4 linked regions of the Arabidopsis thaliana genome follow. The protein of the gene in region 1 interacts with the protein of each later gene in a biochemical or structural test. Each region holds a gene or a part of one and is shown in the gene's direction. Other genes may lie near its edges.

Region 1 (6,967 bases):
AAATTTAATTGAGAATTAATGCTGTCGTTATTCAAGTGGTTAATCTGCTAATTCCCGATTTTGAAACGCATTAAATGTTTGTTAATTACGTTTATTCAAATTGTGTAAGGGTGGTACAATAAGTCAATCAACCAAAGTGGATGAACACATAATGACCAAAAAAAAAAGAAACTTTCTTTTTTCTTTTTATTGTAGTAATGAATTATTACTACGTTAACTATGACATTATCTATAGTACACACTAAATTTTATTAGAATCATCGTTCTGTCACCATCTAAATTAAAATTAAATTATTAGAATGCTAAGTGTCATATCATATGATTTAGCTATAAATAGTTAACCAAAAAAAGAAGCTATAAACATATAATACTTTATAATCTTCACTTCATTTACAAAAATATACTGCTAAAACTGTAATTTGGTATAAGAACAACTGATACTTGAATTTCAAATTATTTAATTAACAGATCAAGTCGAATATTTTATAAATATTATCAAAAGCTGATTAAAACAACAGAAAGACTCTTTTCATTCTCGTTACTCAAATCGCTCTGTTGACGTACATAAACAATTGTGTTTACTCCTCTAAGTCTATCTCATATTGACTTACATAAACAATTGCCCAACAAATGTCTATATTCAATTAAAAGCAACAAAGAAAAAACACTAACTAAAAAAATAGAATCATAATCTGAAACGAAAACTAACTTTTTCTTTGTCTCAATGCCGATCAATTAGCCTCCATGAGCAGTAATCCTACAATTATAAAGAAACGTATTATAATGGTTAAAACTCTTGTCATCAATCCAAAAACACTCATACTTAATCTTAGATCTCAATTTGAGATAAATTCGAAATAAGCCTAGATTTCTAAGTTACAACAAATTTTATTGATTTTAATCAAATAATAAAAACATATAAATAATTATTTCATTCACATAAATATATCTAAGAAAGATAGACACACATAATTAACAAAAGATAAACTAAATCGTATTAGAGTCATCATTTTGTCACCATCCAAATTCAAATTAAACTATTAGAATGTTAAGTGTCATATCATGTGGTTTAGCTATAAACATGTAATACTTTATAATCATTTTAAGTTATTTCTTATTACCATCATTCACTGGAATTTGTTTTACAACTTTTGTACAGTTGATCTTTAATAAATGAGCTAAAACTAAATAGAAGATTTTAAATTTTGATGATTGTCTATATATTTAGTGTAAAACAGTAAATGAAAGGCAAAAAAGCTGCAAATCAGATTCTGAATAAAAAACATGTTATGACGTCTAATCAAAGTTTTAGGATCCGAGAAGTTTACTTTTCTTGAAACACAATAATCGAAAGTTTTGTTTAATCAAAAGAAGCTCATAAATAAATTCTAGGATCCTAAATAGCTAAGTAAAAAACAAACTGAAATAGATTACAATGAATTCATACATTACATTTTTGTAGTTTGAGACCCTAGAAATACGATCTTGTTCCTCCTCTTTTGTTTATAGGCTCAGTTTTAAACCTTAATAAATTAATAATCTCGGAACCGATAAATTCTAATTAATTTATAAAGGTATTAATTTATTAATAAATCTTATAGAGAGATTTTATTAATTTTGTAATTTTTTAAAATTTCTATGTGAGAAGTAGTTTTTGTCTTTATAATCAATGTCTTTCAAAAATAAATTACAAATAAAAAACCAATTGTTAAGTTAGTAAACAAAAAACACTTTGTTCAATATAGTAAAAATATTAGAAATGAACTCTACTAAAAATTTTATACAAATTTAAGAAAAATGAACAATACTAGAGTTAAATCCCACTAATTTAATTAAATATATATATATATATATTAATAAGTGTAAAATTATTAATTTATGATATTGATGAGATCATATGTTTACGTAAGAGTTTTTAAAAACTTATTATTTTATAATTTCATTGATTTGTGTTATTTATTACATTGAAAACGTCAAGAATTTATTAATTTGTAAAAATAGTAATTTATCGAGGATTAGTTTATAAATAATTTACTGTATTAGCATTCACAAGGAATAAGCATAGTACATATATGTCCCAATGTTAAGTAAATCATTTTTTGTATAATTACTTGTCAAAAAAAAAAAAAAAAAAAAAATCATATAGAAACTAAAATATTTGGAAATATATATGGACTCAAAGGTTGTACAATTTTGGGCCTAACCGTATTATATATAATATACGGGCTAAATGTTACACGTATGAAGCCCAAAATAACCTCTCTTTTTTTTTGTCAAACTTGATTTGTAATTGAATTTTAATAAAATTAAATAATTGAATTTTAATAAAAATTAAATAATTGAATTTTAAATGCATATTTTTCGATAAAAAAAAAATGTCTGTTGCAGAAAATATTAAATGATACTTTCGCAGTGACGATTATTCCAAGGCCGTTTGCATGTGCAGATGTGCTTGATCATATAAAATCCATTCAAATTTTCTAACATTAGTAAATGAACAGTTCATCAGAATAAAAGAAACAGCTCGACATTTGGTAGAATCTCTAACCACACTTTTAAAGAAAAGACACAAACCTAATGGCTTCTCTCTCTCTCTCGAAGACAAAACACGACATAAATTTCTTAATCCTCATTACCTATCACCGACAAGTAATGAAACATCTCTATAATCTTATCTGATCAATCATATATAACCAAAAGCACTTGTTTTACTAATAAAACAAAGCAAAAATCATGTGAAATACAAGTTCTTATTGTTAATTTGTTATAGTAGTAATCAAATCAAATAAATAAACATTTCATCTTCTTGGATTCATTGCAAAACAGTCTGTCAAGTTGAGGTTGTGCAATGTGCAGTAATGAACAAACAACCAAACCAAGTTTAAGAACTTAAAGATTGCATTTATTGCCTCCACCTTAATTGGCTTTTCTACTTTCATTTACTTCTTCTTCTTCTTCTCTTGATCCAAAGTTTTCCTCTACACTACCTATAGATCTGTCTTTGTTCCTAGAAAAATGATAACTTTCAGTGAGTTTCTGTTTCTCTAAAGGCAAAACACATCTTCACTATGCAGATTTCTCTTCAAATCCATTTATCTTCCTTCACTTTTCTTCTTCTTATTTTCCTTCTTCCAGTACTCTCTGAGTCTCAGGTAGCTTCAAGTGAATCACAAACTCTTCTTGAAATCCAGAAGCAACTACAATATCCACAGGTTCTTCAATCATGGACTGATACAACCAACTTCTGTCACATTCGTCCGTCTCCTTCCTTGAGAATCATCTGCCTCCATGGTCACGTAACAGAGTTAACCGTCACCGGGAACAGAACTAGTAAGCTCTCTGGAAGTTTTCATAAACTCTTCACTCTTCTTACACAACTATCGAGCTTAAAGACTTTGTCTCTTACTTCTCTCGGAATTTCTGGTTCTCTTTCTCCTAAGATCATCACTAAGCTATCACCGTCTCTTGAGTCTCTCAATCTTAGCTCTAATTTCATCTCTGGGAAGATTCCAGAAGAGATTGTGTCTTTGAAGAATCTGAAAAGCCTTGTTTTAAGAGACAATATGTTCTGGGGTTTTGTCTCTGATGATCTCAGAGGATTATCAAATCTTCAAGAGCTGGATTTGGGAGGTAATAAACTCGGTCCTGAAGTTCCTTCACTCCCAAGTAAGCTCACCACTGTTTCATTGAAGAACAACTCCTTTAGATCCAAGATTCCAGAACAGATCAAGAAGCTGAATAACCTTCAAAGTTTAGACCTTTCTTCCAACGAATTCACCGGGTCGATTCCAGAGTTTCTGTTTTCGATTCCTTCTCTTCAAATTCTCAGTTTGGATCAGAATCTGTTAAGCGGGTCACTTCCAAATTCTTCTTGCACCTCCTCAAAGATTATAACTTTAGACGTGTCTCACAATCTTTTAACTGGAAAGCTTCCTTCTTGCTACTCTTCAAAGAGTTTCAGTAATCAGACAGTGCTTTTCTCATTCAACTGCTTGTCTTTGATTGGCACTCCTAACGCGAAGTATCAGCGTCCGCTTTCTTTCTGTCAAAACCAAGCAAGCAAGGCAATAGCTGTGGAACCTATCCCCAAGGCTAAAGATAAAGATTCTGCAAGAATCAAACTCGGGTTAGTGATTTTGATAATCATCGGTGTGATCATCCTTGCAGCAATTTTGGTTCTGTTGGTTTTGATTGCCCTCAAAAGAAGAAGATCAAGATCAGAAGATGATCCTTTTGAAGTGAACAACAGCAACAATGAGAGACATGCCTCTGATAAAGTCTCTGTTTGCAGCACCACAACTGCCAGCTCTAAGTCATTACCAGATTCAAGTAAACAATGACTTATCTTATTAATACTTGGACACTTGAAACTGAGTCTTTCTCTAGCAAAAACCATTAACAGGATCTTTCTGAGTGTAGGACGTGTACCACAGACAATGAGATCTGCAGTGATTGGTTTGCCACCGTACCGCGTTTTCTCCTTGGAGGAACTGGAAGAAGCGACTAACGACTTTGATGCAGCTAGCCTGTTCTGCGAACAGGTAAAAACAAAAACTTGACTTGAGACTCTGGCGACGAACCTAATAGATTACTTAATATATTTGGTATTCGAACAGCTGTATAGAGGTTGTCTAAGAGAAGGCATACCAGTGACAGTGCGAGTTATCAAGCTGAAGCAGAAGAGCTTGCCACAAAGCTTAGCTCAACAGATGGAAGTTTTATCAAAGCTAAGGCATATGCATTTGGTTAGCGTTCTTGGACACTCCATTGCCAGTAACCAAGACCACAATCAACACGCTGGACACACCATCTTCATTGTTCAAGAATACATCTCTAGTGGATCATTGCGGGACTTTCTCACAAGTAATAATAACCTGAAAAAGATTAGAATATATATTCAGGTTTCCATAGACTCAAATGGTTATTCATTATGGGAATTTTTGTGATCAGACTGTAGGAAGAAAGAGGTACTGAAATGGCCTCAGAGAATGGCGATAGCAATAGGAGTCGCTCGAGGGATACAGTTCTTGCATATGGGAGTAGCACCAGGAATCTTTGGGAACAATTTGAAGATAGAGAACATCATGCTTGATGAAACACTCACAGTAAAAATCAGTGGCTATACTATTCCTTTACCATCCAAGGTATAAAACTTTGTTTTATTTCTTCTTCTATTAATTGAATCTAAGAAAATTTAATGGCATTTCTAGGTTGGAGAAGAGAGGCCTCAAGCCAAAAAACCTCGGAGGTTGTTGTTGTTTCTTAAGATATGATCAAATGTGTTCTCTTCTATCAAATTTTGAAACTTGTTAATGAATAATGTGCAGTAATGAAGATAGAGAGAAAGAAGATGTGTACCAGTTTGGAGTGATACTACTACAAATCATCACAGGGAAAGTAGTTGCTGCAGGATCTTCAGAGATGGGAAGTTTGAAGCTTCAGGTCTGTTCTGTTTCAGTCAGAACCTTTTCATCTTTAAGAATCCGACACGGCTTACAAATTTAGAACCTCAATGTTATTATTTCCTGCAGCTGGAGAACGGTTTGAGAGATGAACCATCAGTATTGAGCAGCTTAGCAGATCCATCTGTTAAAGGATCATATGCTTATGAGTCGTTGAGGACGACAGTAGAGTTTGCTATCAACTGTCTTTGCGAAGATCAGAGCAAGCGTCCTTCCATAGAAGACGTTGTGTGGAATCTACAGTATACAATTCAAGTGCAGCAAGGATGGAGACCAAGCAGTGGGAATCATGAATCATCCATGAAAGCAATATATGAATGAAATGATCATAAAGAGAGGCAAAAACTGTAGAAACAATAATAAGTTTCAAACAAGTCAAGATGTAGTTTCATGGACTACCTGAAATATCTTTTATTAGCTAACTTAGTAATCTGTGAATAAAAAGCAAAAGGAGTTGAAAAACACACAAAGACATGTAAGAGAGTGTGTCCAGCTTTGCTCGACAACATTGCAGACTCTTCTGTTGTATTCGCGCTTGCTTTCGCTGAACATTCGTGCATCTCTTAAAACAAATCAGCAGTCTACAATCTTGCTAACCTGCTTGATGAAGACATCAAAATCTTCAAAAACCTTCACAGGTTCTTTATAACAAGAATCTCTGTGCCTGGAATACTATAGAAAATCCCAAAAGTTACTGCAAACCTCTCACTATGCTCACGTCTAACCTCTCCATCTCAACCACACTCCGTGTTTCGGGCAATCTCCAATACAGAAGTCTCTACCTCATCCAGCATTCTATAAACTTCCTTTGTTATGACTTGTATCGCTAGCTAAAAACAAGTGCTTGTGTTCCACATAACTATAATAACCATAGCTATACCCAGGTTAGGTAAGATGTCGAAAACAGCAAGTGGCTTTGCCAAGTTACCTCACCTAGCATACATACTACTGATCAATGCATTTTCGCTCACAAAACAAATTTTGTTACAATACCATTGGCTTTTACTAGCTTCTTACTTCTTGACCAATCTCTTGAGCCTCCAAGATAGATAGGCACAAGAAGACAGGATCATGACAAACGCTCGATGATCACAAACACATACACACCAGCTTCCTTCATTCGAGTTTGATATGTGAGCTCTCGTAGACGCACGTTCCATGGCGTCGAGAAGCCACCGCAGCGACGGTCATGGATATTGGCACTTTCGATGAGCTTGGCGTGTGGGGTATTTGTTTATGTGTCTATGAACCATTTATTGGCAAAAGGGTATCGACCAAACAAGATGGTCCATGTGGATGAGCCTGGTTATAAGTTTTTGGCTGTGTTGTTTGAAGTTGTTGTCATTGCCATTGTTATGATATGGGACACTTGAAAAAAACACCAATTGACTCATTGATTTCTCAGGTTTGTAAAGAAAGGATGTTGATTTTGAATTGTTTATAGCAATCCTCGTATTGTAGTGTACTTTGTAGTTTGTAGCATCAAAAATAACAACAACAATAGT
Region 2 (7,261 bases), on another chromosome or scaffold:
GTTTCTCTAGAAGAGACTCCCATTTCAGTGAACATTTTCATAACATCACGGTTTCTGAAAATTCAAACACAAGTATATGCACAAGAAAGTTAATCAAAGGAATCAACATTAACCAAATATGAAAATTGATAGGCAGCAAAACGCACTCAAAGTACATTACATGTCATGAACGGTAACTTTATATCCAGCTCTAATTAGATTATTCACCATTCTGAATCCCATATTTCCAAGTCCTATGAAACCAACATTCTGACAAAACAGCAAAAATGAGACTTCATTTACATAAATTTTGGGTACTGAATCAGACAAATTTTGCTGTTAAAAATCTAATCCAGACAACTTTTTTTGCAGAACTGATGAATTTAGATAAGTGGTCAAGATCAATAAGCAATTTGGCCACTAAAATTCTTATTAACTATGCTCGAGATTACAAAAGTTAAGATCTTTTATTCCAACTACCTTAAGGATCATGTTTTAGAACGTTTCAATAAAATTCTAGGTGACTTATGAGGAAAAGAGATTATGTTTTCTGATCATGAAGACAATTTAAAAAGCAGAACCTGGAATTGATTTGAATTTTGAGACGAAGAAGAGAACCGGTGGAGCGACCCAGACACGAAATTGGTTTTGAATTTAGAAAGACAAAGTAGAGTTTGCGCTCTGCGAATCGCCATTGATGAATTTCTTCAAACTCAGAGCAAGTTAACAATTAGCAAATGAGAGTGAGTTTTAGACGTAAGTGTGTAATCTCATCAAAACACTCAGATTTTTGTTTTTTGAATTATGACCCCTTAACTATTAATTTATTCTGAACCCGGACATTTACTTTCAACATTATCAGTAGAACCCAAATAATTGGTCTGATGCCCTTGTCTCTTCCGGTCTTCCCTAGTCAACGTAGTCAGCATGTGGGACCCATTTTCCTACGCGGTATTTATTTCGCTTCTACATTTTCCTACTAATTAATGTGGTATCAACTTCAAAAATATTTATTTGTCCGAATATTCATTACTATTTTTTCTGGATTGTTCAAAAAATCATGTTTCATTTACTACACATTTTCCTTGCAAGCTTTTAATATCTGTATTTTGGTGTAAATAACATTCACTCCGAACTCTCATTACTCTTTTTATTTTCCCTATTATTTATTTATGTAAATTCATTTATTGCAAGTTTCTACCAAAATTTATTAGAACACTGCGCAATTTTCGCTTATTTTCCCAATGCTGTAAATCTCTCTCACTAAAGGCAAGGACATAGACTCATAACCATATTGGATAAACCCTTTCACGTCCACCATGGTCACACTCACTAAAAACATTAGTGTAAGTAGCTTTTTTCATTTTTTTTGGATTCCTTTCCCGGGCCATTCCAGGCGGGTAATTAAACTATATTTTAAATCTTTCCTCACTGAAAAGACTATGAAAAAGTAAATTAATATATAATTTTCTTCTCGTGAACCCATGAAAATAATTTCTTGCTATTTTACTTTTTATTTAGGGTTTTTGATTTGGTGTCCGTTCACACGCTTCAAGACTTACCCTTTTACAAGGTCCTTGTCGTTCGTCACTGTCGAACGTGAAAACTAGCAAAACATTTTCTCTATCTTTAATTTTGTTTTGGCTTCTTTCTTTTGTTCTTAAACAGTGACAATCTTTTAAGGGTTTTTAATTTTTAAAGTGACCCACAAAGATTTCCCTCAGTTAGCTCAGTGACTCAGTCTACAACACTGTTGAGCTTAATCCAAAACCCCGTGCAGTTCATGAGCTAATGAACAAAATGATTCTGCTTTAAAGTTTTTGTCTTCCTTCTTCTTCAACTCTGTCGACATTGTTCTTGCAGTGAGAAGCTTTTTTCATCCCCGTAAGTTTAAAAATCCTCACTTTTCATTTATCTCTTTGCTTTGGAGTTAGGTTAGATCTCGGAATGGGACCCAAATATTGAATAGCCCATTTGTTCATTTAATGTTTTTTTCAGCTGATTCCCTTTGAGTGAAGATTGTCTCTTCTCACTCAGTAGCATTACTGCATTTTGTTTGATTGGGGTTTCTCAGAAGATTTGTTCATCTTAGGTAAAGTTTCTTTCTTTAGCTTCTGTTTTTTTTTTTATCAGAGTGAAATTTCTGGTATTGTTGATTTTTGCAGAAAGATTTAAACTTTTTTTTGGTAACATTGATGGGTTTTGTCTTATTTCATTATGTTTTATGTCAGATTTACTTGGGGTTCCATGAATTTTCTGCGTTGGTGAGCTGGAAAAGTTGTTGGGATTCTTCAAAAACTGTAGCTTTTTGGGGGAAAAGATTTGAAGTCAAGGAAGGATGAATCTTTCTAGGATTTTGTTACTCTCCATGTTTTTTCTATCTGCAATGGGGCAACTTCCATCACAGGACATCATGGCATTGCTTGAATTCAAGAAAGGCATCAAACATGACCCTACAGGGTTTGTCCTTAATTCATGGAACGATGAGTCTATTGACTTCAATGGTTGTCCTTCTTCATGGAATGGTATTGTCTGCAATGGCGGTAATGTGGCTGGTGTTGTTTTGGATAATTTGGGTTTGACTGCTGATGCTGATTTCAGTCTGTTCTCCAACTTGACAAAGCTTGTCAAGCTATCTATGTCAAACAATTCCCTTTCTGGTGTGTTGCCAAATGATTTAGGCAGTTTCAAAAGCCTCCAGTTCCTGGATTTATCAGATAATCTGTTCTCTTCTTCATTGCCTAAAGAGATTGGTAGATCAGTAAGCTTGAGGAATCTTTCTTTATCTGGTAACAACTTTTCTGGTGAGATTCCAGAGTCTATGGGTGGTTTGATTTCACTTCAGTCGTTGGATATGAGTAGCAACTCCTTATCTGGACCTTTGCCAAAGTCCTTGACAAGGCTGAACGATCTGCTGTACTTGAATCTGTCTTCTAATGGATTCACGGGGAAAATGCCAAGGGGCTTTGAGTTGATTTCAAGTCTTGAAGTGCTTGATTTGCATGGTAATTCAATTGATGGTAATCTTGATGGGGAGTTTTTCCTTTTAACGAATGCGAGCTATGTCGATATCAGTGGAAACAGATTGGTGACGACGTCTGGGAAACTGTTACCTGGTGTTTCTGAGAGTATCAAGCACTTGAATCTCAGCCATAATCAGCTTGAAGGTTCATTGACTAGTGGGTTTCAGTTGTTTCAGAACTTAAAAGTCTTGGATCTTAGCTACAACATGTTATCTGGAGAATTACCAGGTTTCAATTATGTCTATGATCTTGAAGTTCTCAAGCTTAGCAACAACAGATTCTCAGGTTCCCTTCCCAATAATTTGTTAAAAGGTGACTCTTTGCTTTTAACAACGCTGGATTTAAGTGGCAACAATCTCTCAGGTATGCTCTTGGCTTTATCTTCTACATAGTGGAAATTGTTATATGTTAACGGTGGCACCAAGAAAACTAGAAATCTAATATTTTTTTATTGGTTTTCCTTTTGTGTTTCAGGGCCAGTAAGTTCTATCATGTCAACTACTCTTCACACCCTTGATCTTTCTTCAAATTCACTGACCGGGGAGCTTCCTCTCTTGACTGGGGGATGTGTTTTACTCGATCTCTCAAACAACCAGTTTGAAGGAAATCTGACAAGATGGTCAAAATGGGAGAATATAGAGTACCTTGATCTAAGCCAGAACCATTTCACTGGGTCGTTCCCAGACGCAACTCCCCAGCTTCTGCGAGCAAATCATCTTAATCTTTCCTACAATAAGCTCACAGGCTCACTTCCAGAACGGATTCCAACTCACTATCCGAAGCTTCGGGTACTTGATATAAGTTCTAACAGCTTAGAAGGGCCAATTCCAGGTGCGTTACTATCCATGCCCACTTTGGAGGAAATCCACCTTCAAAACAATGGCATGACAGGTAACATCGGACCCCTGCCTTCTTCTGGTTCCAGAATCCGTCTTCTTGATCTTTCTCACAACCGGTTTGACGGGGATCTTCCTGGTGTATTCGGGTCTTTAACCAATCTTCAAGTGCTGAATCTCGCAGCAAATAATTTGTCTGGCTCTTTGCCTAGCTCCATGAATGACATTGTCTCTCTAAGCTCATTAGACGTATCCCAGAATCATTTCACTGGACCACTCCCAAGCAACTTATCTAGCAACATTATGGCCTTCAACGTGTCATATAATGATCTATCAGGGACTGTGCCAGAGAATCTGAAGAACTTCCCTCCGCCTTCCTTTTATCCTGGAAACAGCAAGCTCGTCTTGCCTGCTGGGTCCCCTGGATCAAGTGCATCAGAAGCTTCCAAGAATAAATCCACGAACAAACTTGTTAAGGTTGTCATAATAGTTTCTTGCGCTGTTGCTCTAATTATTCTCATCCTTGTGGCTATCCTCCTTTTCTGCATCTGCAAATCAAGAAGGCGCGAAGAACGTAGTATTACTGGTAAAGAAACTAATAGGCGGGCTCAAACTATCCCCTCAGGCAGCGGAGGTGGTATGGTTGTCTCTGCTGAGGATCTGGTTGCTTCAAGAAAAGGCTCATCATCCGAAATCCTCAGTCCAGATGAAAAACTAGCTGTTGCAACCGGCTTCTCTCCTTCTAAGACCAGCAATTTGTCTTGGTCACCTGGCTCAGGAGATTCATTCCCAGCTGATCAGCAACTAGCACGGCTTGATGTGAGGTCACCAGATAGACTTGTGGGAGAGCTGCATTTTCTGGATGATTCAATTAAGTTGACTCCAGAGGAATTATCAAGGGCACCAGCTGAAGTTCTGGGAAGAAGTAGCCACGGCACTTCTTACAGGGCAACGCTGGATAATGGAGTGTTTCTAACAGTGAAATGGCTAAGAGAAGGAGTGGCAAAGCAGAGAAAGGAGTTTGCTAAAGAGGTGAAGAAATTTTCTAACATTAGACATCCTAATGTTGTGACTCTCCGAGGGTACTATTGGGGTCCAACGCAACACGAGAAGCTTATTCTTTCAGATTATATATCGCCTGGAAGCCTTGCCAGCTTCCTTTACGGTAATGCTCCTTTCAATAAACTTCTCTAAGTATTATATGTATGTGCAGTATTTTTCATCAAGCTTACGGTTCTTGTTTGATGACAGATCGACCGGGCAGGAAAGGCCCTCCCTTAGCCTGGACCCAACGGTTGAAAATCGCAGTTGATGTGGCACGTGGTCTAAACTACCTCCATTTCGACAGAGCTGTTCCACACGGTAACCTCAAGGCAACAAACATTCTCTTAGATGGAGCAGAGCTAAACGCGCGTGTGGCAGATTACTGCCTCCACCGTCTCATGACACAAGCAGGCACAGTCGAACAGATTCTAGACGCAGGAATCCTCGGTTACCGAGCTCCCGAGCTAGCAGCTTCAAGAAAACCATTACCTTCTTTCAAATCAGATGTATATGCGTTTGGTGTGATACTTCTTGAGATCCTAACCGGAAGATGTGCAGGAGATGTAATCACAGGTGAGCAAGAAGGTGTTGATCTAACCGATTGGGTTAGGTTACGTGTTGCAGAAGGGCGTGGTGCAGAATGCTTTGATTCGGTATTGACTCAGGAGATGGGAAGTGATCCGGTAACAGAAAAAGGCATGAAAGAAGTTCTTGGGATTGCTTTGAGGTGTATAAGATCAGTTTCTGAGAGACCTGGTATTAAGACCATTTACGAAGATCTTTCTTCTATTTAGGAACAATGTTTTTTTTTTTTTTTATGTTTTGTAGGTTCCAATAGAGTTTGGTTCCTCTGAATGTGTTCTCCTTTGTCAAGTTCATGTTCTGTTTCGGGAGAAACATGTTCTTGATTCAAGGTACTAGTGTGTTGTGTCTTCTGTTAGTTTACTTTACATTTTCCCTGTAAAAAAACGAAATCTGCTCATGTCTCATGAGTGAATGAAATTTCATTTTTTCCCATTTATATTCTCTCTTCTTGGAAGTTGCTAAATTGTGTTTCATGTTCCGGTTAGACTTAACCGAGTCTTTGAATTAGGAATCTTAACTTAGATGTTACGTTTTGTATTATATATGATCTTTCTCCAGACCCTAATCCTAGAAACCCTAATCCCAAAGTCCGAATGGAAAGACCAATACATCTCCCGGAGGCTATATTGACGGAGATTCTAGCGAGATTGTCTTTGAGAAGCATCTATAGATGCAAATCGGTAAGCAAAACATGGAAATCGTCAATCAAAACATGGAACTGTTGATGCACGAATCACACAAGTACGAAAATGGGATCTCTAGGGAAGGAAGAAGAATCTTTCTATTAATGACGAGCCCGCGACTTAGGCGAATTGGACGGATTACAAAGGATGATTTCTTCAACAAGCATAAATGGAAAAAGAACGAGCCGATTGTAGATGAAAGACGAGCTTGAGGCCGGAAAACGATCTTGATATCCGAGGAAGAATAGAGTTTATTCGTTTTATAGCTGAACCTTGGAACTTATTTTGGGGTTTTGACTTGGGTTTGGGCATTGGGCCAAGTAGGCCCAATCCGACCCCTAACAGTTGCCCCCCAATCCTGATGCATCGTTGATGACGTGGATCAGGATTTCAGGCGCTCGAAACTCAATCGAAGGAAGTAAAAAGTCGCGCATGGGGAAGACGCAATGTTTGGTTTGTCTTTCAATTTTCTCAAGGTTCGGAGATCGAAGCGTCGCATGGCTTTCAAAGTATAGGCTGCTATCACGACGATGTGCTGTCTCGGTGATAGTCAAGCGAGACGACAAGGAAGGTTAAAAGGGGCCGCCTCGAGTGTTGCGTGACCGTCACATTTCTGAAGAGCCTCCTGGATCAAAGTGGTCGTCTGGTGTTCAAGTTGGGATGTTCGAGTCATTCGAAAGTGGTTCTTTGAGGGGGAGAGGGAAGAGACGAGGGTCGTTAATCGTGATGAACAACGAGCGAGTGTTCCGAACTCGTCCGATGCGTTTTGCGTGCCAATGATCATTATTGGAGTTATCGTTTCGTTTGAAGGAGGCGTTCCTTTTGCTTTTAACTCGTGTTTGTGCTGAGCTCGCTGTTTGAGAGGCAAGACTGCTCAAGCGTTGGCCGATCTAGACAAAATCTTGAGCCGAGGTTGAAAAGATGAGTGGAAAGTATAATAATTTAGTTGAACGTGCTTTTTCAGGGAGAAAAGAGCTTTGGGAGCGTCGGTTGGAGTATGACAACTTCGTTCAAAGGTCGGCGGTTGATAAGATGGCGGAGCTCATCGAGAAGCGATTGGATCGGATCAAGACCTATATTGACGATACGAAGGTGGCGGAGCCAAAGTTTT
Region 3 (9,113 bases), on another chromosome or scaffold:
TTGTGAACTAGGTCCGTACTCTGTAGTAACTATTTTGAACTAGAGAGAGAAGATCCTTGATAAGCTTTGGCATACAAGAGATCCTTTTTCTATTAGAGTATCTGGTACAAGGTTGTAGCACATATTTCGTTCAAGTGGGGGTGAAAATTAGATGCATCGTTTTAAGGCTCAACTCTTCATGAACGATATTCTCTACTCTCAAAAATGGTTTCTGACCTCTGAGTTCCTTTTGTTTCTCAGGGAAAACTTGTTGAGAAGGATTTTGACATGCAAAAAGCTGCTAACGGTTCTAGTATCCGAGTTATTCAAAGAGTCTATAAAGCAAATGTATCAGAAAATTACCTTGAAGTTCATCTTTTCTGGGCTGGAAAAGGGACCTGCTGTATTCCTGCTCAAGGCACTTATGGGCCATTAGTCTCAGCTATCAGTGCAACTCCAGGTATACATACAGCAGAAACTTTCATGATCTTCGTAGAGTCCAATGTATCTTCTAACTAGCGGCTTTTATTCTCTGCAGATTTCATACCTACTGTAAAAAATAAGTTGCCCTCGAAATCCAAGAAAAACATTGTTATCATTGTAGGGGCTATTGTAGGAGCAGGGATGTTATGTATATTGGTGATTGCTATCCTCTTATTCATCCGTAGGAAAAGAAAAAGGGCGGCTGATGAAGAAGGTAAATGAAAAGTCTTAGCTGTGGCAGTTTTATTAAAGTCTAATCGTTAACAACTGTAACCTTCTAAGTGGTATTTATCAAATATTTCTCAAATGCAGTGCTAAACAGTCTGCACATAAGGCCCTACACCTTTAGTTACTCAGAACTCAGAACTGCAACTCAAGATTTTGATCCTTCCAACAAGCTTGGGGAGGGAGGATTTGGACCTGTTTTTAAGGTAAGACCGTACACAGAATGTGTACCAATATTGGGAGTCTAGTGTACTAGAAAGTTATGTAAAATTTTACATTATCTATATTCTAAAAATATTCATTGGTACAGGGAAAACTGAACGACGGAAGAGAGATAGCCGTGAAGCAATTGTCAGTTGCATCCAGGCAAGGAAAGGGTCAATTTGTTGCGGAGATTGCCACTATATCAGCTGTTCAGCATCGCAACCTTGTAAAATTGTATGGATGCTGCATTGAGGGAAATCAGCGCATGCTTGTATATGAATACCTCTCAAACAAGAGTCTAGATCAAGCTCTATTCGGTAAGTGCATGAGATCTTACATGTGTTATCCTTGTAAAAAAAACAAATGCTGTTACCTTACATGTTGCGTGACTGTGGCAGAGGAAAAGAGTTTGCAGCTTGGTTGGTCACAGCGTTTCGAGATATGCTTGGGAGTAGCAAAAGGTTTAGCATATATGCATGAGGAGTCAAATCCCCGTATAGTGCATAGGGATGTGAAGGCAAGCAATATTCTTCTGGACTCGGATCTGGTCCCGAAACTCTCAGATTTTGGGTTGGCCAAACTATATGATGATAAGAAGACCCACATAAGTACCCGAGTTGCAGGGACGATGTAAATATCCTGAAAACCTCACATTGGATGTGGTTTGTCAAATGGGCTAAAACTTACCGTTGTTAAATGTTATATTGCAGCGGATATCTGTCACCAGAGTACGTGATGCTTGGACATCTTACGGAGAAGACGGATGTGTTTGCCTTTGGTATAGTGGCCTTGGAAATTGTCAGCGGAAGGCCTAACTCCTCTCCAGAATTAGATGATGACAAACAATACCTTCTCGAATGGGTATATATCTAACTTTTCCTACAAACACATCCTTTTTAATTCCAAATTTGGTGAATAATTTGGTCTTTGCAGGCATGGAGCCTACACCAAGAGCAGCGTGATATGGAAGTAGTAGATCCGGATCTGACAGAATTTGACAAGGAAGAAGTGAAACGTGTAATAGGAGTAGCGTTCTTGTGCACACAAACAGATCATGCAATACGACCAACTATGTCCCGAGTGGTAGGTATGTTGACCGGTGATGTGGAGATAACGGAAGCCAATGCCAAGCCAGGGTACGTCTCTGAGAGAACATTTGAGAATGCAATGAGCTTCATGAGTGGTTCAACGAGCTCGAGCTGGATATTGCCTGAAACTCCAAAAGATTCTTCCAAGTCCCAAGTTGAAGAACATGGACGACGACATTGAAACTTGAAAACTTGTGGTTTTTCTATTTTTTGTTCTTACATAAAAAAAAAGAAGTCAATATAGAAATCGTTGTTGGTAAATAACACATATACATATTCGTTTGACCAAAATTGGATTTGACTGTTTCTCCTGAAAGTTGTGTTTGGTCCCATTTTTAACATTAAAATCCCTTAAAACCATCATTGGCATTTAGTATCAAAGTCCAAAGGTGGTGATGCTTCTTGCACTCGTAGGCAGCAGCCGCCATTGTTGAAATCTCCCGTTGACAACGCAGCGGAATCTCGGTTTAAGCGCGTCCACTTCACGGCTTGTGGATGCATCGCGTGAGACGCACTGCTCCGCGTAGTTGGTTAGACCATTAATTAAATTCAAATTAAGCCAAATGAAAAGTATCTCTTCAAAGTCCAACATAAACACCATTTTTGAACCAAATTAAAACCTTCTCCGTCTAGTTTTGGCGGCTATCATCTTCTTCTCCGTTTAATTTTAGTTTCCGACGATGCTCAGGCTATGGCGGTATCTGTGTCTACTCCTCACTGTCTGGTTCTTGTGTAATTTCGGTCCGGTTTACGTGGTTCGAGCTCAAAATCGAACAGGAGCCACCACACATCCCGACGAAGGTCTGTCTTCTTCTTCTTTGAACAACTTGACAAGTTCAAATTCAATCGATCGGATTGAAGACTGTGTAGCTAGGTCTTAAGCTACTCTTCTGATCCTAATTGATAAAACCGATGTTTACATTTATAATATTTTTTTATTTTATCCTAAGAAGTTTACCGGTTTAGTTTCAATTGACATTTTTTGTTTAGTTAATCGTATTTTGTTAAGAGCTAATAATAATTGACTGTTGTAAATAAAAACAGCGCTAGCTTTGAACTCAATTTTCGCGGCTTGGAGGATTCGGGCGCCGAGGGAATGGAACATCAGCGGCGAACTTTGCTCCGGCGCCGCTATCGACGCCAGTGTTCTCGACTCAAACCCTGCCTACAATCCTCTCATCAAATGCGACTGCAGTTTCGAAAACTCCACAATCTGCCGCATTACCAACATGTAGGGCCTCTTTCCCCCTTTTTTCTGCACCCCATTTGTTCGACGTATTCTCCCACTGGGAATTGACTTTTGTGGGGGAAACGAATGGTTTTCAATTTCATGTCTCAAATTCTTCTCCTCATTTTTGGATGTTGTTGATGTTTTCACAGCAAGGTTTATGCGATGGAAGTTGTAGGATCTATACCTCAACAACTCTGGACCTTGGAATACCTGACAAATCTGTATGGTTTTACTATCACTTGATGATTATACAATTTCAGCTACAAAAGGAGCACACATTTTCACAATTTAAAATCACTTCTTTCAGGAACTTGGGTCAAAATGTTCTCACTGGCTCACTTCCTCCTGCACTTGGAAATTTGACTCGAATGCGATGGATGTATGTCTCTGACACCTTCTTTTTTTCTTATTGTTTGTGGTGAATGTCTACACCTTTCATTGATAATGCACCCTTATAGGAACATTTCTTGTTTCTCACTCTCAATTGTTTATCACGTAGGACTTTTGGGATCAATGCGTTGTCTGGCCCTATTCCTAAAGAAATCGGTTTGCTTACAGATTTAAGATTACTGTAAGCTTAGGCTGCTTCTTCATTGTTTAAATATGATAGTGTCTTCACATTGCTTCTGGAGGATTCTGACGGTTCCTTATACACTATATATATTTCTGCAGTAGTATTAGTTCAAATAACTTTTCGGGTTCTATACCAGATGAGATTGGGAGATGTACAAAACTACAACAGATGTGAGTTTTCTGTCAATCTATAAGTGTTTATGTCTTTATATCCTTGGTTATAATTTAGATATGATTAAATATTAACCTTTGAAATCATTTAGCGATCACCGACCTCAAAATTCTAGCGCAGTTGATGACTGATGGGAAATTTCTTCCATCTATTGCAGATACATAGATAGTTCGGGACTCAGCGGGGGATTACCTGTATCATTTGCTAATCTTGTGGAGCTGGAACAAGCGTAAGACATATTGAAGTCGAATATAAGCTTTATTGTTTAACTTTAGTTGCATCTTATTTTTGTAATCTATTTATTACTTTACAATTTAGTCTTTTTTGCCGTGATGTGATTGTTTCCTTAATGTGGTACCAGTTGGATTGCGGATATGGAACTTACAGGTCAGATACCAGACTTTATAGGAGATTGGACCAAACTTACTACCTTGTAAGAAGTTTTCATTTTTACGGTTATATAATAGGCTGGTTCCATTGATCTTTTTTTTTAACCAGTCTTTTTTACATTTAAATTTGGGATTTAACGGCTGGTACGTGTTTTACTGCAGGAGAATTCTTGGAACTGGTTTGAGTGGTCCGATACCGGCGTCGTTTTCAAACTTAACTTCTTTGACAGAGCTGTATGTGTTGCATTGTTGTCATAATCATTATCGTTTTACTGTTGCTCTTCCTTTCCTTTTCTCCACATATTCATATACTATATGTAGGAGGCTTGGTGATATATCCAATGGAAATTCTTCTCTTGAATTCATCAAAGACATGAAATCTCTAAGTATATTGTAAGGCAGTTTCAACTTGAACTTCTAGGAATTGATCTGGTTCTCTCCTCCCTGTATTTAACATTTGTAATATATGTGGCAGAGTATTGAGGAACAATAATCTCACTGGGACAATACCGTCTAATATTGGAGAATATTCAAGTTTGCGACAACTGTACGTATATATGTCAATTTGTTTCTTCAAATGCTCTAGCAGCTTTTTCAGGGGTTTTTTGTTTGTAAAAAGAGTGAGATGATTTGTGAAAGTCACGAGAAATTACGAATTGATCCTATATTTCTGATTATATAATTTCTTATTTTTCCTCATTTATTGCTTAACAGGAATGGTTTGACGTTTTACCATGTAATTCATGTCTGTTTTCCAGTGATTTGAGCTTCAACAAACTACATGGAACAATTCCGGCTTCACTTTTCAACTTAAGACAGCTTACTCACTTGTAAGATGATATGTTTTCTACTTTTGGATCTTTATGTACAGCGACCCGGATTATTGTGAAAAAATAACTGTTGTCTTCATATTAGGTTTCTGGGGAACAACACGTTGAATGGCTCATTGCCCACTCAAAAGGGGCAGTCTCTGAGCAATGTGTAAGTAACAAAATCCTTTATAATTTTTCCATCTTTAAAAGCCATGTCCCCTAGTTTCTTGGACGGTTGTTAACTGATATATACTCAAGTTTCGTACACTTTTTACTCTGCATTTATTCAAGTCGAATAAGAATTCCACTCTTGGTGACACAAATGACATGCCAAGATAATTAGGAAACTATTTTGGTAACATATTCTGGCGATCCTAATTAGTGTTCTTCTATGCTTACAGAGATGTGTCATACAATGATTTGTCTGGAAGTCTTCCGTCATGGGTCAGTTTACCAAACTTGAATCTGTAAGTAAACAAAACACTATATCACGACTTATATTAACAGTGTTTTACATTCAGAAATTTCCCCACATGTATATTCATTAGACTTCTTCATATCCAGCATGAAGCTTCCTTTTTGTATGAAATTATTTATTATAATCATGTTAGAGAGAATAATATTAAACTAAACTGTATGTTCTTTGTGCAGCAACTTAGTTGCTAACAACTTCACATTGGAAGGTCTTGACAACAGGTGACTTTTTAATTAATGTTCTTGTTAGGGCTTGAAATTGCTTTCCCTTTGTTTCTCTTTTCTCTTTTTTATTTGTTGCTTGCAAATAGTTTAATCATATGTTTAATTTCTTTCTGTAAAAAGGGTTTTATCAGGACTGAACTGCCTGCAGAAGAACTTCCCATGCAATCGAGGGAAAGGAATATGTAAGTGTAACAGCAATATCCGCTTCTTGAGCAAATGTTGGAAAAAAATCCGCTAAATTTTTTCTCTTTACACTGGTGTCTAGATTCTGACTTCTCAATCAACTGCGGAGGCCCAGAGATAAGATCTGTAACTGAAGCAGTATTTGAGAGGGAGGACGAGGATCTTGGACCAGCTTCATTTGTCGTGAGTGCTGGTCAGAGATGGGCAGCCAGTAGTGTAGGACTTTTTGCCGGAAGTAGCAACAATATATACATATCTACTTCACAATCACAATTTGTCAACACTTTGGACTCAGAGCTATTTCAGTCAGCAAGACTTTCTGCATCTTCCCTAAGGTATTATGGGTTGGGTCTAGAAAATGGAGGCTATACCGTCACACTTCAGTTTGCTGAAATACAAATTCTAGGTTCTACTTCCAACACTTGGAGAGGTTTAGGAAGACGACGTTTTGACATTTATGTCCAGGTCTGCACTACTTGACCGAGCTTTCTGCTTTACAAATTAAATTTTGGTGTAATTATCTGCTTCCGACTTTTGATTCTGATGAATTCTAAGACTAGCTCACTTTTTCCAGGGAAGACTTGTTGAAAAGGACTTCGATGTACGCAGAACAGCTGGTGACTCCACTGTTCGAGCAGTTCAGAGAGAATATAAAGCAAATGTATCACAAAATCATCTCGAAATTCATCTTTTCTGGGCTGGAAAAGGAACATGCTGTATTCCTATCCAAGGGGCTTATGGGCCATTAATATCGGCCGTCGGTGCAACACCAGGTAAATAAATGGTGAATTCTTCTTGTTTTACACCATCTCCTGATGCTAGTTAGTGCTTAAGTGTTACATATTTCTGTTCAGATTTCACACCAACTGTGGGTAATAGGCCACCATCAAAGGGAAAGAGCATGACTGGTACTATTGTGGGTGTCATTGTTGGCGTTGGACTTTTGAGCATCATTTCTGGTGTGGTTATCTTTATCATCCGAAAAAGAAGAAAGCGGTACACAGATGATGAAGGTATAGATGTAAAAAGCTCTTGAACTGTAGAATTTTGGCCCTCTGATTAAAAATTAGTTATATATCATCTCTCATATTGGTCGATTTTAAGAACCGAATTGTTTCTGGCAGAGATACTTAGTATGGACGTTAAGCCTTACACCTTCACTTACTCGGAACTTAAAAGTGCAACTCAAGATTTTGATCCCTCAAACAAGCTTGGAGAGGGAGGATTTGGCCCTGTTTATAAGGTAAGTCCCTACTGAAATTTGTACATATTTGAGATATTAGGAAAGAAGAGTATATGTGTACTATCTTTTGTTTTGATATTACCTTTTGTTTTGACAATATCATTTATTGAATAATGCATTCAACAGGGAAAACTCAATGATGGAAGAGAGGTAGCAGTGAAGCTATTGTCGGTGGGATCCCGACAAGGGAAGGGACAATTTGTTGCAGAAATTGTAGCAATTTCTGCAGTCCAACATCGCAACTTAGTAAAACTTTATGGGTGCTGCTATGAAGGAGAGCATCGTTTGCTTGTATATGAATACCTTCCTAACGGAAGTCTTGATCAGGCTCTATTTGGTACGCACAGAAGCATGTTTATCGATCCATGCTTCTGCCAGGCTAAAATCACTCATTATGTACATGTCATTGGTTTGAATGTTGCAGGGGAAAAGACTTTGCATCTTGATTGGTCAACCCGTTATGAGATATGCCTGGGAGTAGCCAGAGGTCTAGTCTATCTCCATGAGGAGGCAAGGCTTCGCATAGTACACAGGGATGTGAAGGCCAGCAACATTTTGCTTGACTCTAAATTAGTACCAAAAGTTTCTGATTTTGGGCTTGCAAAACTGTACGATGACAAGAAAACCCACATAAGTACCCGGGTTGCAGGGACAATGTAAGTAACTCCCAACCCTGACCTCTGGTTTGCAACACAACTATGGATTTATAACACATGTTGGTGATTTTACTGTATCAATGCAGTGGGTATCTTGCGCCAGAGTATGCCATGCGTGGACATCTAACAGAGAAAACGGATGTATATGCCTTTGGTGTTGTGGCTCTTGAGCTAGTGAGTGGAAGGCCAAACTCTGATGAGAACTTGGAGGATGAAAAAAGATATCTTCTTGAATGGGTACGTCCATACTTCAACACTTTTTGATAATGAACACAACTTCAATGTATGTGACCATGAGAGGCTAATCTGGGTTATGCCCTTTAGCAAAAGCTGATATTGATTGTGTAACTTGTTCACAGGCATGGAATCTACACGAGAAAGGCCGTGAAGTTGAACTTATTGATCATCAGCTGACTGAATTCAACATGGAAGAAGGGAAACGCATGATTGGCATAGCCCTGCTGTGTACACAAACATCTCATGCCTTGAGACCACCAATGTCACGAGTGGTGGCCATGCTTTCAGGAGATGTTGAGGTCAGTGATGTCACTTCAAAGCCAGGCTACCTAACCGACTGGAGATTTGATGACACCACAGCCTCCTCAATCAGCGGCTTTCCATTAAGAAACACACAGGCTTCTGAATCCTTCACGAGCTTTGTGGCGCCTAGATCCGAGATATCACCGAGAAACAACGACGCTAGGCCAATGCTTGGAGCCCAGATGAATGAGGGAAGATGACAAAGACCCTATATGGTGGCTATAGATATAGTCATATAGAGATTATGTTTGTGTATATGAGGTTCACTTTATTCTTCTTGGATTGGAAAAACTCTAGATTTCACTTTGGTTAAATAATAATAATATTTTAGCTCCTCTGACTTCCACAAGCGGTCGTGATGGGCCACGTACTATTCACGTCCTCAACCAAATCAATGCCGTCTCTTTTACAGTGTAACTGTGTTGGTTTCCAAATGAAGGAAGTTATTAAGAACACTTTTCATGAGTGGTTCAACGAGCTCGAACCGGATATGACCTGAGATTCTAAAGAATATTTATGAGTCCCAAGTCGGAGATGGACGACGATTTGAAACTTGAAACGTGTGCTTTTGTTTTTATATTTTGGTGTTTGTCTTACATTATTAAAAGTCAATAAAGAAATGGTTCAGGCAATTTA
Region 4 (8,005 bases), on another chromosome or scaffold:
ACGTTTTTATATCTTGATTATAAAAATTAAAAAAACAGTAGAAAGTATATACCATACGAATTTTAAGTGCATAAGCAGTCAAAACATAAACATAAATGATACAAGAGATCTAATCATCTAATGGGATGTCGACAAGTCTTAGAAACAAATATGTGTGTACGTTTATATAACGAAATAAATATAACACGAAAATAACTTAGAAACAAACAAATTGGGACACGCATGGGTAATTTGTCCCCTTCTCTTGTTTGTTGTTCAATTAATGAAGTTACGATCTCTTGAGGCCAATTATATAATTTATATAAAGACTTATTAAAAAAAATAAGAAACGTAGAATGTACTAGAAATAAACGAGGGGTTAGTTGGATTCATCTAAAAATGTTTATGTAGATTTTGTACCAAACATTAAAAATATATGTTGTGTAACTTTGTTGACAATTAAAAGAAATTATTTAATTGATAGAGTTGTTGAGCGTTGTATCTTTTAAACCATTTGATTTTCCCTACTTTATTGTGTTAATTTGCATAATGTTTTTTTCTAATATTCTGACATTATGTTTGATTTATTTCCATGAAACAACAATTGTTTCTAGAGAAAGCTTAATGGAGATTTTAGCTTTTTTTTGTTTTTTCTTCATTTAGTCCCACAACATCATAGTCATGATTTTTCGAACTTGTGAATTGTGATAGTTAATGATTCTAACTTCCAAGTGGTAACAATAAACCTAAAATACGGAGAGTATTCGTCACGCGCTCCAAGCATAAGCTCGCATGATTGGTGGCGTAACTTTCATGGGACATTTTGTCTCTCACACTAAAAATAATAATTCTTGTAGCATACTATATTTAAATAGCTTATTATTATAATTGACAAATACGTATTATTTGAAGTTTGTTTATAGCCTTCACGATACTATTTTATTACAATGAAATTGAATTTACTAACAAAATATAATTATTTTATATATTAGTATTGCATGTTAATATGTTGACCGTTGATTAAAATACAATTTAATGATCATAGCTGTGATCTACAGTAGTACGGTATGTTGTAACAACAGCTTAGCAAGGCTCTAGATCACCGTAGTGGACTAGTAGACACTAGACACCGTGACCGTACCACGAAAAATAAATTCTCTTTATAAATTAAACGCACTATTATTTCAATGATTAGCAACAATATTATACTCTTAATTAGGAATCTTCCAACGAAATTTATTCATTTCTACCATTATTCTAATGAGATGTTCTCTTCCATTTTACGTTCGAATAATAGTCTGTCCTATTATTAATTTTTTGAATATCTAAAAATTCACTACTAAAAAATTTACCTCTTTCAAAAACTAGATCCACATTAAATTAGTGAAGAAAAATCTACGGCACACTATTTCCATCAGTAAAAATAAGGAAAGTTTTTCAAAAAAAAATATATTAATATTTTAATCAAAACAAATATATTAATTATTATTTAATAGTTGAACTAATAATATGATGACATCTGTACAAATTTGATAAGAATAGTTTCTCAAAGTTTCTCCTCCGAAAAATTTAACTCTCCTTCTCTCCTACTTTTTCTCACCTCTCTCATATTTTTTTTTTTTGCTCTTACTACACAAATACCACATTAGTATCTATAATTAATAAAGTTAATAAAAATCAGGTTCTAAAATAATTTTACTCTTACATAATAACGATGATATTGGAACATTACACTTGATGCACAATTTTTTTTGTATAAAATTTACATTTTATTTTAAAAGTAAAATAGCGATAATATATATTTGAATAACAATACAACGATTATCTTTTCAACAGATCATTTTTTTAACACTAACAAATCATTTTTTAATTTACTGTATATTACAATTAAAATCTCATGCAAAAATACAGTTGTACATATGCCCCTAGATTCCTGATATAGAAAGATTTGGATATTTCCTTATTATTAATTTGGTGTTAAGCTTTGCCACATGATTGATGTATATATATTATTAATATAGATAAATATATTTCTCACTTATATAAATGAATAGAAAATCGATCTAAAAACTAAACAAACATTCATGTAAAAAAAACATCCATAATTCAGAATATTTAAAAACAACTCAGAGTCACATAAAGTTGCCCAAAGTAAAAGAAATAAAAAGATAAAGAGGATGAGAACATTCTTCCTTTCTGTGATATTTTTTATTTAAATTGTATATTTTCATAGCTATTTTTATTCTATAAAAAAATTAAAGCTCATTTTTCCCCTCCAACAAGGAAAAACAAAAACCTGTCTTTGAATCCAAGTCTCTCTCTCTCTCTCTTTCTCGCCACACTTCATCATCTCTGCTACTTTTTTTTTGTTCTCGTCTCAGTGAGTTTTCTTTGATAGGTTTATTGCTAAATCAATCAAATAATCTTGTCCAGTTTCACTTCTCTTTTACCATTTCCTTGTTCCATTCTTCAGCTTCTCTCTCTCTCGCTCTTTACTTTACTAAACTTGGTCTCTTCTTGAGCTTATACATCTCATTTCTGCAGAGAGTACTTGTCAAAGAAAGTTGTCGTCTTTCTCCAGATTCTTCTTGAGCTTATACTGTTGATCATCCGTGAAAGAATCTAGGTTCCGCTTCTTTTTTAATGAGCCGAATTTGAAGGAATCTTTCAACAGACGATGAGATCGAAGTATTTTTGTTCGTTAGCTCTTGTTCTTGGTCTCTTCTTCGTTTCTTGTGATGGGTTTGCCTCTAATGAAGGTAAAACTATTTGTTAATCTCTTTGTTTTGTGTTACTTTTCTTAAACCCAGATCTCAGATTTCAATTGTTTTCTCGCTTGTGTTAGGTTTACTAAGAAAATGCTAGATAAAGCTCATACCTTTTTAGATTCTTCAGTCTCCATGAATCTCTCTGTGAACAACTTTCTAACTTAACTTGAACAGAGTTGGGATTAGTGTAGAATCTTAATCAACCTGAAAAAGTTTTATCTTTTTAATGGATAAGATCAGAAGAATCTGTGAAGTTAAAGCTTTTAATTCAAGGTCTGATCATATAAATCATCTAATAGATTTATGGATCTTCTGCTCTGTTTTTGTTAGTTCAAGCACTTAGAAGATTCAAGGAAGCTATCTATGAGGACCCTTTGCTAGTTATGTCTAATTGGAATGACCCCAATTCAGATCCTTGTGATTGGACCGGCATTTATTGCTCTCCATCTAAAGATCATGTTATCAAGATGTAAGAATCTTTCATCTTTTCTTCTTTCTCTTGCGTTTACTTATTCTTGTATAGTATCTGCAGAATCAGTTGTTTATGAGTGGTTTAGGATGAAGTTGGCTTGAGCTTATAGCTTGTGGATCTTCTTTTCGTGCAGAAATATATCCGCTTCATCGATAAAAGGGTTTCTTGCGCCGGAATTGGGTCAAATAACGTACCTGCAGGAACTGTACGGTTTCATCTCTTTCACAAATATGTAGTTTGATGCATTGAGTTTGATGCATCTCATTAACATCATTAAAATGCTTCTGTAGAATCCTACATGGGAACATTCTAATAGGGACAATACCTAAGGAGATAGGAAACTTAAAGAATCTCAAAATCTTGGACTTGGGAAACAATCATCTTATGGGACCGATCCCTGCAGAGATCGGGAGTTTGTCCGGCATCATGATAATGTAATAAAGATTCATCTTTTTCGCAGTCAAAGTGATGCTTTCATATCTTATTAACAGATGAGTTGTTGAGACGACAGTTTTTCTTTTCACATTTTACAGCAACCTTCAGTCCAATGGTTTGACTGGAAAGTTGCCTGCAGAGCTCGGTAACTTGAAGTACCTTAGAGAACTTCATATTGACAGGAATAGGCTTCAAGGAAGTCTTCTTGTTGCTGGAGCATCGGGCTATCAGTCGAAAGTGTAAGTTTAATAGCTCAAGAAGCCAAAAATGAAACACTATGTGACTTCTGTCTATGATGGCAATGTTAATCGGGTTTTGTTTATTCAATTTATTTAGGTATTCTTCAAATTCAAGTGCAAACATCGCTGGTTTGTGCAAATCTTTAAAAGTAGCTGACTTTTCATACAACTTTTTCGTGGGAAATATTCCAAAATGTTTAGAAAACCTTCCAAGGTATTCTATCATCTATGCTGTCTTTTGGAACTCTCTAAGTCTTCAATTTAGTCTTAGAAATGCTCTTTTGTGGTCACTAGGACGAGCTTTCAAGGGAACTGCATGCAAAACAAGGATCTTAAGCATAGATCTTCTTCCCAATGCGGTGTGTAAGATAGAATAATTTTCACTTTATCGACATACATGTTCAATTAGTCTTGGTTTTCTGAATGTTATCCCTGTTGCAGCTAATGCACAACTGGTCAAAACTCATGGAAGCCCGAGCGCTGCTCCTAAGCACCAATCAGCTCAAATGGTGGCTAAGCACCATAGAGCATCAAAACCTAAATGGCTTCTAGCTCTTGAGATAGTCACAGGGTCAATGGTTGGTTTGCTCCTTCTGGTTGCACTTTTCTCTGCAGTTCACCGCTGGAACAATAGATCAACTCTCATCATTCCTTGGAAGAAATCTTCAAGTGAAAAGGAAAAGTTCACAGTCTACGTAGGTTAGAATCTTTCCTAATTCTTTACCTTCCAATGTAGAATCCATGGAGCAAAGAACTAAAAAAACGTGGCATGTTTTTATTTTAACTACAGATTCTGAAATGCTGAAGGATGTTTCGAGATTAACAAGACAAGAGCTCGAAGTGGCGTGTGAAGACTTTAGCAACATCATTGGTTTATCAGCAGATAGTCAGATCTATAAAGGAACGCTGAAAGGTGGGTCTGAGATTGCGGTGATCTCTCTTTGTGTAAAGGAAGAAGATTGGACTGGATATCTTGAGCTCTATTTCCAGAGAGAGGTAGCTTCCTCTCATGTTATCATCATCACCAAGCCACTTGGATTGAACAATCTTTAAACATATCCTCCTTTTTTCTGAGATTTTAAATCCATCTCCTCACTGTTTCAGGTTGCAGATTTGGCTAGATTAAACCACGAGAACACAGCGAAATTACTTGGATATTGCAAAGAGATCTCACCATTTACAAGAATGCTTGTTTTTGAGTATGCATCAAACGGAACACTATATGAGCACCTTCACTGTAAATAGTCTAACTTACCTCAGAGCTTTGTTGCATCATCCTGTATTGTTTTAGCTAGATAACATTTTTATGTGAAATATTTTGATGCAGACGGGGAAGCGGCGTTAGTATCGTGGGCAAGACGGATGAAGATTGTTATAGGCATCGCACGTGGTCTCAAGTACCTTCATATGGAACTTGATCCTCCGTTTACAATCTCTGAGCTGAGCTCAAACGCAATTTATCTCACAGAAGATTTTACTCCCAAGGTAAAGTAAAGTGAGACCTGCTTGTTATCTGAGTAATACAATTAGCTAAGCTAAGCTTTATGTTCACATTCTTTCTTTTTTCTGACTTTCTCTGATGCAGCTGGTTGATTTCGAATGCTGGAAGACAATTCTTGCAAGATCAGAAAAGAATTTGAGAAATATTAGTAGCCAGGGTTCGATATGTGTACTCCCAAACGGAATGGAGAGCCGATATCTTGATGTGTCGGGTAATATCTATGCATTCGGGATTCTTTTGCTGGAAATTGTCAGTGGAAGACCTCCTTATTGCAAAGACAAAGGATTCTTAATTGAATGGGTAAGACAAAAACAACTCAGTTTCTCTAAACACTTGAAACTGAGTTACTTCCTCCTCCTCTTTTTTCACCATTTATATCAAAAACTTTGTTACTGTTAGCCTAGTAGGAATGGAGTCGTCTGTTCAGGGAGAGACGAGTTTTCGTCTGGATGTGGAAGTCTTGACCTTGTTCACATGTTTAGTTATATCGCACCTCAAATGTGGTTTTTGTGGCAAAAGTTTTGAATTTGAAACGTATCTATTGCATTTTGCAGGCAAAGGAGTTCCTTGAAGCACCAGAGGCAATGTCGGGATTGGTGGATCCAGAGCTGAAACATTTTAACCAAGAAGATCTTGAGACGGTATGCGAAGTGGCTAGCCAATGCTTGAACCGGGACCCAACCAACAACAACAACAATCACAACAAGCCCTCAGTGCAAGAGCTATGCGAGACATTGGAGAGCAGAATCAGTCTGTCTATTTCAGCGGAGCTTAGATCATCTTCTTTGGCTTGGGCCGAGCTGGCGCTTGACTCGTGATGAGAATGATGAAAGGAAAGAAAACGAGTGTTGAATGATGCAATGCTAACTAACTAAAAACCAAACTCTCAACTCTGTAAATCAATCGACTGATTACAACATTTGATATTGTTTTTTTTTGCTCTGATCTTGACGAGTGTGTCTGTGTTCTTGATTAGTTTTGAGTTTTGGGTGGTTCAAAGTGTTTGTAAATGAAGAGATGAACATAGTTTCTGAAAGATTTTCTCTATTATTTGAAAATCTATGAGAGGTTGAAGAATGTTAATGTAGTGTGTTTGGATCTAACCTTTAATCTTATATTATATAGAGCATTGTATCTATTGTTTGACATGATTAGTCTCATTGGAAAAAGCTTCAAGGCAATCAATTTGAGATCAATATCAGTCTCAGACAAGTGTTTGCGGACCAAGAAGAAGAAGAAACGTAGTTGAAGTTCATAAATCATAATGCATGGATCAACTTAATAAAAGGCCCACATTTAGCCTCGTATCAGTCTAAATGGGCCACACAAGTCAATAGGCCCATTTATCAATGCTTTGACTGTTTTCAATCTTCAATTTTGGTATGACTTCTTCTTACGAGGTTGAGTGCCATAAAAGATTAGACAGACACGTAAAATAGATTCCATTTTACCTTTAGTTAAAACAGATATGGATTAGCCAAGTTTCGTTAGTATATTGTCATATTATTTTATTGAAACAGAAAAAAACAAGTAAAGATTACTTAATCATTCTTAATCAGGCCTGTTCTTAATTATCAAAAAAAAAAAAAGATTACTTCATCATGTCGTAATAATATCACTAATCAATCCTTTTTTTTTTGTCATCACTAATCAATCCATTTTTTTAGCGAACCTTAAAGTCAAAGGTGTTGTTACTTTGGACGATTAAATTTGAATTATATAATTTAAAAGAAAATTGGAATTTAATCTGTTGAGGTTGAAATTCTCTCTTTTTATATATGGCGGTTGAAATTTAAAAGTAAAGTATTGTTTGGTAGGGCCCTATAGTTTAAACATTTACAAATCGGCCCACACATTTTTGTCATTTTAGATGTCGTAAACCGCTTTCCCTCGTCTTCGTTCCAATTTAAAAAGCAAAACAATTTCAAAAAGTCTCATCATTTCCCATAAACCTAAAAGCTTTTTAAAAACTCAAATTCGATACGAGAAGAACAAGATTCGCGCACAAGACGATCGATTACATGGCGACGAAGCTTTTGTCGCTTACATGCATAAGGAAAGAGAGATTCAGCGAGCGTTACCCTCTGGTGCGGAAGCACCTTACCAGGTCTCGCGACGGCGGCGGAGGATCATCGTCGGAGACGGCGGCTTTTGAGATCGATGATCCGATTTCCAGGGCGGTTTTTCAAGTGTTAGGAATGACTTGCTCTGCTTGCGCTGGATCTGTTGAAAAGGCTATCAAGCGTCTCCCTGGAATTCACGATGCTGTCATCGATGCTCTGAATAATCGTGCTCAGATTCTGTTTTACCCTAACTCTGTCGATGTAAGCTATGATATTCTCTCGAATCTCGGTTGAATTGTTTCTGAGAAGACTTGATTTGGGATTTAGGTTTTCTTTTTCTGTGTAATTGTGGATTTATAGGTGGAGACAATTCGTGAGACTATTGAGGATGCTGGATTTGAAGCATCGTTGATCGAAAATGAAGCGAATGAGAGGTCGAGACAAGTTTGTAGAATAAGAATTAATGGTATGACTTGTACTTCGTGTTCTTCAACAATCGAAAGAGTTTTGCAATCGGTTAATGGTGTACAAAGAGCACATGTGGCTTT

The links.
Region 2: the proteins of AT2G02780 (region 1) and GHR1 form a complex in vitro, tested with the Arabidopsis thaliana proteins (one large-scale study listed by BioGRID).
Region 3: the proteins of AT2G02780 (region 1) and AT1G56140 form a complex in vitro, tested with the Arabidopsis thaliana proteins (one large-scale study listed by BioGRID).
Region 4: the proteins of AT2G02780 (region 1) and AT1G63430 form a complex in vitro, tested with the Arabidopsis thaliana proteins (one large-scale study listed by BioGRID).

What each region holds. Positions count from the first base shown.
Region 1 is NC_003071.7:780,748-787,714, reverse strand, and holds AT2G02780 (Leucine-rich repeat protein kinase family protein), read left to right. Parts: upstream 1-2,792; 5' UTR 2,793-3,068; coding exon 3,069-4,329; intron 4,330-4,419; coding exon 4,420-4,541; intron 4,542-4,616; coding exon 4,617-4,863; intron 4,864-4,950; coding exon 4,951-5,144; intron 5,145-5,210; coding exon 5,211-5,248; coding exon of another isoform or gene 5,249-5,273; exon of another isoform or gene 5,274-5,327; coding exon 5,328-5,442; coding exon of another isoform or gene 5,443-5,505; exon of another isoform or gene 5,506-5,531; coding exon 5,532-5,783; 3' UTR 5,784-6,041; downstream 6,042-6,967.
Region 2 is NC_003075.7:11,200,363-11,207,623, forward strand, and holds GHR1 (Leucine-rich receptor-like protein kinase family protein), read left to right. Parts: upstream 1-2,365; coding exon 2,366-3,365; intron 3,366-3,476; coding exon 3,477-5,003; intron 5,004-5,089; coding exon 5,090-5,676; 3' UTR 5,677-5,918; downstream 5,919-7,261. Other genes in the region: AT4G20930 (6-phosphogluconate dehydrogenase family protein), read right to left, coding at 1-54, 161-249, 561-674. UniProt on the Arabidopsis thaliana protein: Receptor kinase acting as an early component in abscisic acid (ABA) signaling.
Region 3 is NC_003070.9:21,001,272-21,010,384, reverse strand, and holds the start of AT1G56140 (Leucine-rich repeat transmembrane protein kinase), read left to right. Parts: upstream 1-2,529; 5' UTR 2,530-2,659; coding exon 2,660-2,780; intron 2,781-3,023; coding exon 3,024-3,210; intron 3,211-3,359; coding exon 3,360-3,431; intron 3,432-3,517; coding exon 3,518-3,589; intron 3,590-3,709; coding exon 3,710-3,781; intron 3,782-3,882; coding exon 3,883-3,954; intron 3,955-4,112; coding exon 4,113-4,184; intron 4,185-4,316; coding exon 4,317-4,388; intron 4,389-4,506; coding exon 4,507-4,578; intron 4,579-4,665; coding exon 4,666-4,737; intron 4,738-4,819; coding exon 4,820-4,891; intron 4,892-5,102; coding exon 5,103-5,174; intron 5,175-5,259; coding exon 5,260-5,325; intron 5,326-5,557; coding exon 5,558-5,623; intron 5,624-5,807; coding exon 5,808-5,852; intron 5,853-5,975; coding exon 5,976-6,037; intron 6,038-6,120; coding exon 6,121-6,503; intron 6,504-6,612; coding exon 6,613-6,811; intron 6,812-6,892; coding exon 6,893-7,051; intron 7,052-7,162; and 10 more. Other genes in the region: AT1G56145 (Leucine-rich repeat transmembrane protein kinase), read left to right, coding at 241-439, 518-676, 775-893, 998-1,521, 1,602-1,752, 1,825-2,160.
Region 4 is NC_003070.9:23,520,240-23,528,244, forward strand, and holds AT1G63430 (Leucine-rich repeat protein kinase family protein), read left to right. Parts: upstream 1-2,257; 5' UTR 2,258-2,656; coding exon 2,657-2,738; intron 2,739-3,077; coding exon 3,078-3,216; intron 3,217-3,352; coding exon 3,353-3,424; intron 3,425-3,509; coding exon 3,510-3,653; intron 3,654-3,752; coding exon 3,753-3,893; intron 3,894-3,990; coding exon 3,991-4,107; intron 4,108-4,187; coding exon 4,188-4,252; intron 4,253-4,334; coding exon 4,335-4,592; intron 4,593-4,683; coding exon 4,684-4,889; intron 4,890-4,997; coding exon 4,998-5,130; intron 5,131-5,220; coding exon 5,221-5,378; intron 5,379-5,478; coding exon 5,479-5,694; intron 5,695-5,876; coding exon 5,877-6,212; 3' UTR 6,213-6,593; downstream 6,594-8,005. Other genes in the region: HMA5 (heavy metal atpase 5), read left to right, coding at 7,416-7,718, 7,818-8,005.